Drosophila melanogaster: one gene and its partner. The protein of the gene in region 1 interacts with the protein of each later gene in a pairwise test. Each region holds a gene or a part of one and is shown on either strand. Other genes may lie near its edges.

Region 1 (6,154 bases):
CGTTGTTGTCATGGAATATTTTCTTCAGCTGGACAAACAACTGGCAATTGTCCAGCGGGTGCTTCTCAGCAGTTATCATCGTGCTGCCGAAATTTCGCGTTTCGTCAAAACTCTTCCGAAGGAATTCAATTTTATGTGCGTCTTCTGTCAGATGACTATCGAAAATCGATAGTTTACCGGTGCGTACCGATTATCTTGCGTGCAAGGAATATTTTTTGAAAATGAAAATGTCCCTACAACAAAAAATTTCGCTTTGTAATAGACTCTCTGATGTAGATAGATACTAATATGACTTGTCCACTGCATGCTATGATTTAACTTTAACTTTATTTATAAACATTTTCATATGATATTTTGTATTTTGCTCAGCTGAAAATTAAATGAAGATATTTTATAAAGTATTGTAATGTATTATTCGATAATTAATTATTTGTATTATTATTGTAATGTTTTATTCGATAATTAATAATTGACATTATAAATATTGCGACTTCTCCAAAGTCAACTGCAGTTTTTTAAACAGTGGTCCTATTTAGCAAAAGTATTTAAAATAATGCGATTCGCATGCGGCACTTGAGTTTGAAATCGAGAGATAGATTTGGAATTCGTACATAAGAATACGAATAATAATAAGAACATGCTAAATTACAATAATTTCAAGCTTGCCAAAGTATTTATTTAATAGACAAAAAACTTGATGGTAGTATCCGCGCGTTCTAACGCACTGTCTCTCTTCTTTAGACGCCGTTCCGATTGCGCGGCCGCCTCCTGACGGCTCGACTCGCGCCCGTACTCTCCTCGACTATCCTCGCGTACGTGTGGCTCCTCGCGTGTTGTGACTGACTGCCCCAAGCTGCACTTGCGCCGTTCCTTTATAGGCCGCGGGGATCCCGTTATTTTCCCCTTTGCGCGTCCAACTAATTTGCCGTTAGTTCACAATGTGTGTCCTCTTGTGCGTGTCCAAAGTCCGCACCGTTACTGTTCGACCTCCGTGCCCTTGGCAGGCTCGAGTCCAAGGTCCAGCGCGGTACCGTTAGTTCACAGTCTCTCCGCTTTCCTGGCGTCCAAGGCCGCTCCCCTGCACCCAGATTTGTGGGGACGTAGACTCCTCACACATATTATTCTGATGTTCGATCATAGCGTTTTGTATTTTATATATGTATGTATGTATATAATACATAATTATACGAATAATATGAAGAACATGCAAAATTGCAATAGTTTTCATCTGAATAACTTCACTTGCTTGCCAAAGTATTTTTTAAATAGACAAAAAATTTGCAAGGCAGTAGTACATATGTTATGTGCATACAGTCATCCTTTTAAAGGACATACAAAATTGTAAAATAATCTGATATCTGGATTGAACATCATCCTAGCGTTATGATTATTATATATGTACGTCTTTAGTCGATTAGCGGCGGTGTTTCGATTTGGCTTAAGAAAATTACACTTCTAACAGCATCTCCTTAACACTTGGCCGCCTGCTGTTCCTGGATATTTATGCCGAATCGCACAGCGAAGGCTTTACTAGCTAGCTCCATAATCTCGTTGCGAATGGAGAATGGAGCCTTGGCCACAACGGCCATCAAATGATCCCAATGCTGGCGCTTCGTGATGGTCTTATTGTGTTTGGCGTGGCTCCGGAAGGCGATCAAATATTCTCGAAATAGGAATCTAAAGGCCATGAAAGCGGACTCGCTGTTCACCTTGACCACTGCATCGCTAAGATCGCCCATAACAGCACAATCGGCCCTTTTTTTAAGGAGCTTGTTGAAGAGATCGTTAGCCTCCTGTGCACTGGACTGAGTTAGCAATTTGAGAAAGGAGCGTGTGTCCTTTAAGGTGTCTTCTTTAAGGTAGATGATCCAAAAGTCCTTGTGCTTCAATTTGCTCACTTGGTTTAAGATCCTCTGGCGGAATTCTGTGAAAGAGCAATAATTAGTAGGCTTTCGTCTTGGACTTACATTTATAAGAGCGCACCAGTGCCTAGGAATGTCAGATGAGACAGACCGTCCTGCCAATACCACACCGCCAGTTCTAAATTATCCACCCGGAAATCTTCAAAGGTGGCCAAGTCCCAGCGTAGGGCATCAATGGTTTTCATGACATGCGAGATCAGCTTCCAGTGTTTCAAACGCCACTCTGGCAAACTGGCATGCAGATATGTGTAGTGCTTGGCCACCTTGACAGCTGGTGCATCGTCTCCGTTCTCCAATTTCGGGTGCTCCTTTTCGAGTGCATTTAACTCTGCAGTGCCTCGGGTGATTAGATTGCTTTCACCCAGACTAATCTGCTTGAGCAGTTTCAAGATTAACTGCAAGCTGGGCAAGTTCATGGGCTCTATAAACTTGGCCAAACCGTAGGCACACGCGTCTAGGAACCTATTTTGCGCCTGCCTAAGCTCATCCTCTCCGTAGGGACACCGTCCGTCTTTCAAACTAACGCACAGTTGTCGCGCTGACGTGTAGAGACCGTTGAGGATCTGTCGGTGGCCATATAGGTAGAGTGTAAACTGCAAGGCATACGGCTTTTGAAGTAGTTGCTCGTTCACCAAGATGTTATCGGCACAGGCGGAAATATGAAAAGCAGCATGCTTGGGACAAGACTGAGCTATGTGCCAGAATAGCTTCGAGAAGCGAGTATGCGTCACGCCCAAGTGGGAGAAATCAATCCAGGTCTGTCTTGCGTTCTCAAAGCACAGTACTAAAAATTCGGTTATCGGGAAGCGCTTATTATAATCCAATTGATTAAAGAAGCGTATGCGACGCTCCCGATGATCGGGAGCCTTGAAATTAAATCCTTGGGTAACGTTTTGCTCATCGCGTAATAGCAGTACTTCCATCTTGTCCTCGACATTTAATTGCATAAATAAGGGACGCAGTACTAGGCTTAGCAGCTCTTCGTAATCATCGTTGGACGAGGTCTCGTCCTCGTCGTCCCCCTGATTTACTTCCGTAACGGATATGCCCTCGTCCTCGACCACCATTTCGGACTCCACCACCTGACCCAGGAAACTGAGTATTATCTGGGCATGTTTCTTGGTGAGCATAATTAAATGATTTGCCATCGTTTCCAGGCACTCATCGCTGCCAAAGGCTATGAAGCGGCTAAAGAGATTGTCCAGCCCGGCGAGCAACTCCTCATTGGTGGCCATACCGGAATCGATAAAGGCCAAGAGTTCACCGATTCTCATCTCGGCAACGCGCTGCTCCAATGTTTTTGCTGCATCCGCAAAGCTCTGCATCTGCTTGCAAACCGGATGCTCTCCGAGCAACTTATCTGATTGGAGTACTTTAAGCAATTCTGCCGTCTGTCTACAGATTAGCTCCTGGCAGTTATACAAAGCACTTTTCGATTTCATTTCATGCCAATACATATACGTGTCTACGCTAACGAGCTGAAAGATACGCTGCAGAACGTCTAGCAGTATTTGGGCGAAATGCCGCAGATCAGGCATGGGATCGCTTGAGTTGCTGTCACTGATGTCCTCGGTTATTTGGCTGTAGACGGCGAAGCAATTTGGTTTCTCCCGCTTTAATGGATCATTGAGGGTATACAAAAGGACTTCTATAAGGTGATCCATAGCCTTGGCCAGGTAAATCTTTCGAGTGGATGGACGCGGCAGCGTATGGAGGCGCTGTTTAGAGTCCAAGATATGACGATGTTCCATGCAGGCTATCTGGCGCAGCAGTTGCTTATTTTCTGCGGGCAAATTGCAGTTGACAATTGCGCGACCGGCTGCTCTGAGGGCGGCAGAGAGCAGCGGTAGTGTTTCCACGCAATCTGAATTAATGACCGACAGAGCCTCATTGAATGCCTCAAAATACTGGATGGTCAGCCAGCGGGGTCCACAAGCAAGGAATTCCTCCAGCGGCTCCATGAGACAGCAGTTAACGGCTATTGCGATGGTCAAGAACAGTGGGATAGGCGGCAGCTGGTTACACAAATGCATGACATTGGCGCTCCACTGCGATTCGCACTGGATATCATCGTGTGCAGTGTTCAGCACCAGGTACACCAGTAGTCCACGCAGGTGATTCATAGCACAAGGATCCATTGTGTCTGGCGGCTGTATGATTAGATCGTGCTCCACCAGCAGGTCCGTCACTTGGTCGCAGATCTTCGCAATGTGCTCATCGTTTCCTGAGAACAAACAATGTTCATATTTGGGCACTAACCTCTGGTACTTCACTTACCACTCCAGTAAATCATGTCCTTCAGACGCTGGACCTTCTCGTTGTAGTCATGAAATAACTTCTTCAGCTGGACAAACAATTGGCAATTGTCCAGCGGGTGCTTCTTAGCAGTTATCATAGTGCTGCCGAAACTTCGCGTTTTGTCAAAACTTTTCCGAACGAATTCAATTTTATGTGCGTCTTCTCGTCAGATGACTATCCAAAATCGATAGTTGCGTACCACTTATCTTGCGTGCGAAGAATATTTTTTGAAAATGAAAATGTCCCGAATACAAAAATTTCGCTTTGTTATGGACTCTCTGATGTAGATTTATTCCTATTTATTTAACTTTATTTCTAATTTTTTTCCTATGATATGTAAATATTTTTAGCTGAAAAATAAATTAAGTATTGTAGTGCCTTATTCGATAATTAATAATTGATATTATTAACGATCCTCCCTTTCGACAGGAATGCTGAGAGATCATCTGTTCGTTATCGATAGTCTTGTATTGCGTTGGAGGGCAATAGACGCGGCTGCCTAACGGCCGGCAAAGCAAAAGCTAATGCTTAAATGGTAAAAAAATAAATGTATATTTGCTATAAAGTATAGTATTGTGTTTTTCGAAATTTGATAATTGATATTATTAACGATCTTTCCCGTTCGCCCACAATGCAGACAAATCAGCTGTTCGGTGTCGATAGTTTTGTGTTGTGGGTGGCGGTCGATAGACGCGGTTGTCTATCGGCCGGCGAAGCAAAAGCTAAAGGAAAGTAAAATAAAAGCCAAGCAAGAGCGAAACAGCAAGCGATAGGAGGAGTCGGTCGCTGCCTAAGGAACAAGCGGAACTGGGTTAAAACATGCCCATGCAATAGGCCAAATTATCTATATTATAGGCCAGACTTTCCGTCGCAGACCGTTTGGTGGTGGCGGTGGAGAAGGCGGCAGACGGCTTATAAATTATGGAGCTACGCGAACTGCGCGGTGGAAATGGTGGAAGCGTAGGAGGCATTGGAGCAGCTACAACCGGAACCCCCGGAGTGTCAGTGAATGGAGCCCCTAGTCCCGAACTAGGCGGCATCTGCATTGGAGGCGCCGCCGGAGGACAGCGTATGCCCACCAGAGCGGATATATTTATGGAACAACTAAACGCCACCAATGCCAAGAAGGTGGCTTTGCTTCTGGTCCTCGGCTTCATCGTCTATCACGGCCTGCTCAACTGGAAATACGGTGGGTCCAAGGTTACAAGATCTTTAAAGATCTAAGTACTATGAAATTTATAATGGATGTGGATACGGAATCGTACCCATTTTAAGATCACAATTGTATACCAATGTTCACTTATTCTTCTCATATTATTAATGAGTCAGTTTGACGTTTGACCATATTCGGTACATTTTAAATAGTAAAAAAGGTTTTTACAAACTTTTAATCTCAAACGTTTATGTAAATATAGATAATCATGTCGAATTTTAAGATTAGTGTACAAATTCTGCAGTTGGTTGGATTAATATAAACGACATGTAAAGTTCATATTTGGGATGTTGGCTGCCATCGTATGCTTATTATGGATATTGATTTGTTTTGTTTTGTTCTCCCGCAGGCAGTGACTCCTGCCAGTGGCTGCTGTCCAAGGGCCGATTTAAGGGCGACAACGAGTGGCAGCCGTACGGTTGCATGGTGCACAAGTACTCCCTCACGTGAGTAATCAACGCACATTCCCGACAAGATAACCCCCCAATTAATGAGTCACCCAAACCGAAATTCTCATTATTTACAGTGACACAAGGCGCTGTTTGCGTTACCTCGCCTTCTTCGACAACAAGAACAACTTTGTGTTCATTGGCGACGAGAGTATACGGCTGCTCTACGAACGATTTGTGGAGCAACTTCGCCTGCCATTGGCCGCGGATGAAATGGCCGACGAGGAGGACAATAACGCCTCGGTGACTGATGGCTCAGCCCGTTTCGAGGA
Region 2 (3,837 bases), on another chromosome or scaffold:
TTTATAACTAATTATGTATTCAAGTTATTACAACTCAATATATTTCAATGAACTAAAGATTTATACTCACTTGAACTCATCGCTGTCTGGCAGAATCTCGCCATTTCGCAACCAAACGTAGCTGTAGGGTTCATCGCATTCGATGGAGCAGCACAGATCGATCACCTCGCCCTCCAGCGATTTAGTAATCTCGGGCAGTCGTTCCGTGATGACAGCACGACGCCTGCGAATCTCCGTATTCGAGTCGTGGAAGGTGACGGTGGTGGAAGTGATGAGGGGATCGTGGTCGCCGCTTATGATGCAGGTGTACTGGCCTTCATCCTCGCGCGTCACATTGTCCACTATGAGCAGGGCCATCGAGTCCTGCAGCAGGATGTGAACTCGTTCCGAGGCCTCGAGCTCCACGTCGTTGTGATAGAATCTCACCGAGGGCACCGACGAACCCCGATAGCCACTTGCCAGAGCCATGCGTCCGCCAATTGCTGTGGGTGGCATGGTATCAATTGAAATAGTTAAGCTGTAAATTGGGCAAGGAGCAGCACCCACCTGTGGATGGACCCATGATGCGCCTGTACAAGTGGGCATTACGGCGGGAGGAGGAGGCACGCACGCTGCGCACCGAAGGCGACTTGGAGTAGCGGGAGCTGCGGATGACGTCCAAGCGAGCGGTGGCCTCAATACGACCGAAATCGTTCTCCAGCGTGACGCGATACAGGCCGGCATCGTCGAAGGTCACCTCATCGATCTCTATGATGCGAAGGTCATCGATTTCCTTGACGGCAATGCGCGGCGTGGGTGTCACAATCAGGCCATCCTTGTCCCATGTCGCCCACGGTGTGGGATGTCCGGAGATGGCGCACTGGAAGCGCACACTGTCGCCCTCCTCGACGACGCGATTGTAGGGAATGGCGAGAAACTTTGGCGCCGTGATGGCATTCCGGGCATCACTACGCCTGCGTTCCGCCACGCCGGACAGATCGATGCTGCTGGTGCGGTACGATAGGCGCAGGGGAGAGAAACTTCTGGCGGGCGTGGATCTCGGCGTAGAACGGGGCGTGGAGTGGGCGGAGAGCAGGCCACTGGGACGCGCTAGCTGGCGGCTGAGCATATTCTCCTTCTCCTCGGGCACATCCACTATAATGCAGGCGGAAGAGAGACTGCGACCCACCGAGTTCTTGGCCACGCACGTGTACTCGCCCTCATCCTCTGGATATACGCGCGGTATGCTCAGCGTTGCCTTGGTTCCATCGAAAGACATCACGTAGTCCCGATCGCTGGGCATAACATGCCCATCCTTTTCCCAGATGATGAACGGCTCCGGATCGGCCTCAACGTGACATTCCAGCGATATCGCATCCCCATCGCAACAGCGGAGGTTTCGCAAGTTGCGAACGAATCGGGGAAGGGTCTCGATGTTGCTGATTAATTGTTAAAGCTTGTTAATGACAACATATCTTGATAATAAGCTTGAACTTACCCATGTCTCGTGTGCACTTTATCCATGCGGCTTTTGTTGAGTATATCTATTGAAAAAAAGATATTATGCATTAGCACTTTGACTTAGTAAAAAAATATTGCATTTCGAAATTGGCGCCCATTAAACTGCTTGCCAAGCAGTGGTGATTAGTGTCTTGGCTATTTTTGTCAGATTCTTGCAAGAGTGCGAATATATCGATAATCGATAGCAGCTGTGGCCCAATGTTTATTTTTAGCACACCATCTAATTTTCTACTTCTTGTACTCAAATTTTGGTTAAAACAAAATGAGGGGCATGATAATTGTGCCCATGGACCTGGAACCCGGCTTCCGCAAAGCAGACATACACAATATACCCGCTTTGAACAGCGGAATGGTGTACAATTTTTGTCTATCCGGCGCATCTGAGAAATCAAAACAAATGTGAGTGCCATCCCGTTCGCACATATACCTACTGTGTATTCTATTAAAAATTGAATTTTTGCCAACAGACCAACGAATAGATGTGATCTCCTCACGGATTACGTCCAGGTGCGCAGACATGGCGACGTGTGCGAACTCAAGGGACTCGTGTTTTCTGCCACCGACTTCGCCAACACGGTAACTCACGCCAATGTATCGCTTAAGATCGTCGAAAGTGCTCAGATGATCATGGACGGTCAATGCAGCCTGTGCACTGCAGCATGTGAGAATGACTCCATTTGCCACTAATGTCTAGTTCCTAATCTTTAGTACATTACAGGTACTTGTGCCCACATCGTGGCCTTCACCTTCTGGCTGCTAAACAAGAGCACAGATCGAAATCCCTCGGCTGTGGTGGAGTTTTGGGGCCACGAGTTGGAAAATCTGGTGCAACCGGAGCCCACAACTGCTACTCGAATATGTGATATAATTCCCAAGGATGATGTGCGAATGGAAAGCGAACTAAACTCGAAAGAACTTAGCGCCAGCGAGGGAGAGGCTTTCCTAGTGACCATTCTGAATGAACTGGCCGACTGTGGCAGGGACTCGGCGCTCTACCGGCAATGTGTGGAGACCACCGATGAGTTCGAGCCCATGTTCGTACACCATGTGCTGCTCCGAGCAAATGAGTACAATGTCGTCGATCCGTCCAGCTATGTGCAACACATGGAGGCACAGGCACATACGGGTATTATCGAAAGTCTGTACGAGGCAACGCGAAGCAAATACAAATCCCGATTGTGGGTGGAGGTACAGTATATGCGCATCCGTTGCTCCATGATGCACATGATCATAAGCCGCAAAACCTCTGATGATGACGATCAAATCTTCAATATGATGTTTTGCAGAGGACGTGACAAGAATAACGAGGATCGGGTGCAGCAGAAGGAGCACAAGCGCTTCATATTGAAACAGACTGAGAAGCTGGAGAACAAGAACTACTTAGAATGCGGTCTGATCCTGCACGAGAACTTCCCCTTCCTGTGCGCCGCCCCTGATGGCATCACGGACGATCACATTGTCGAAATCAAATCACCAAAGACTGACGAGGACTTCGAGAAGTACCTCGAGGCACGCGAATCTATTGCACCCAAGTACATGGCCCAAATACAAATCCAGATGTTTGCGGCGAATGTTAAAAAGGCGCTCTACTGCGTGCTAAGTCCCACGTTCGAGAGCAACGGAGCACTACACTACGTTTGGGTACAAGCGGATCCGGAATTCGTTAGCAGTTTGCTGAGCATGGCTGAAGACTTCTGGCGGGACGTTGTCTTTCCCCGCCTATTGAATATCTACCCCCAGTGCCCAGGTCAATAAATACATACACATTCACTGTGCTGCTTACCTTTGGCGAATATTTGTAGCGATATTACAGCCTTGGCCTCGCCATGGCAATTGCTGGCTATCACGGAATAGGTGCCGGTGAAATCCAATTTGGCGCTGGGTATCTCCAGCCTGTACTCGGGTCCGTCTCCAATTCGCCGGAAGTGTGGCGCGTCCTTGTAGTACTCCGGCTGCGGGCGAAAGAAAATGTTCGGCGATCAGTGGGTCGAATTGCTCAAGGTCACGTCGCGATGTGCTTGGACTATAAGGACTTGTTGTGCGGCTGTCGCAGATCATGAATCACGACTGTCTTTATACAAATGTCGATGCCGTTGACGCTGACTCGACCGACGTTGTTATTATTGTGTTAAGCTTATGGCCATATAAGCACAAAATTCAGTTTCGAGACTGTCGAATAGGAAAACTGGTAATGGGTATACGTTGCCCACCCTGACCTCCTACTCCTCCTGCCTGCCTGCCTGCCTGCTCGCTCGCTTCCTTGGTCGACTTCGTGCGCGACAGTGGCTAATAATATTTTTTTGTGTATTTTTTTCCTTTTTGGCTCGCGTAATTGTT

Evidence for each region. The genes of interacting proteins can lie anywhere in the genome.
Region 2: the proteins of Glos (region 1) and CG8366 interact in a two-hybrid assay, tested with the Drosophila melanogaster proteins (one large-scale study listed by BioGRID).

Annotation. Positions count from the first base shown.
Region 1 is NC_004354.4:3,934,985-3,941,138, reverse strand, and holds Glos (gaulos), read right to left. Parts: upstream 4,623-6,154; 5' UTR 4,318-4,622; coding exon 4,200-4,317; intron 4,147-4,199; coding exon 1,984-4,146; intron 1,925-1,983; coding exon 1,470-1,924; 3' UTR 557-1,469; downstream 1-556. Other genes in the region: Gem4b (gemin 4b), read right to left, coding at 1-79; CG2938 (uncharacterized protein), read left to right, coding at 5,142-5,409, 5,783-5,879, 5,960-6,154. UniProt on the Drosophila melanogaster protein: Component of the survival motor neuron (SMN) complex that catalyzes the assembly of small nuclear ribonucleoproteins (snRNPs), the building blocks of the spliceosome, and thereby plays an important role in the splicing of cellular pre-mRNAs.
Region 2 is NT_033778.4:15,953,356-15,957,192, forward strand, and holds CG8366 (uncharacterized protein), read left to right. Parts: upstream 1-1,684; 5' UTR 1,685-1,762; coding exon 1,763-1,899; intron 1,900-1,967; coding exon 1,968-2,161; intron 2,162-2,218; coding exon 2,219-3,255; 3' UTR 3,256-3,281; downstream 3,282-3,837. Other genes in the region: Strn-Mlck (Stretchin-Mlck), read right to left, coding at 71-482, 547-1,418, 1,478-1,523, 3,284-3,452.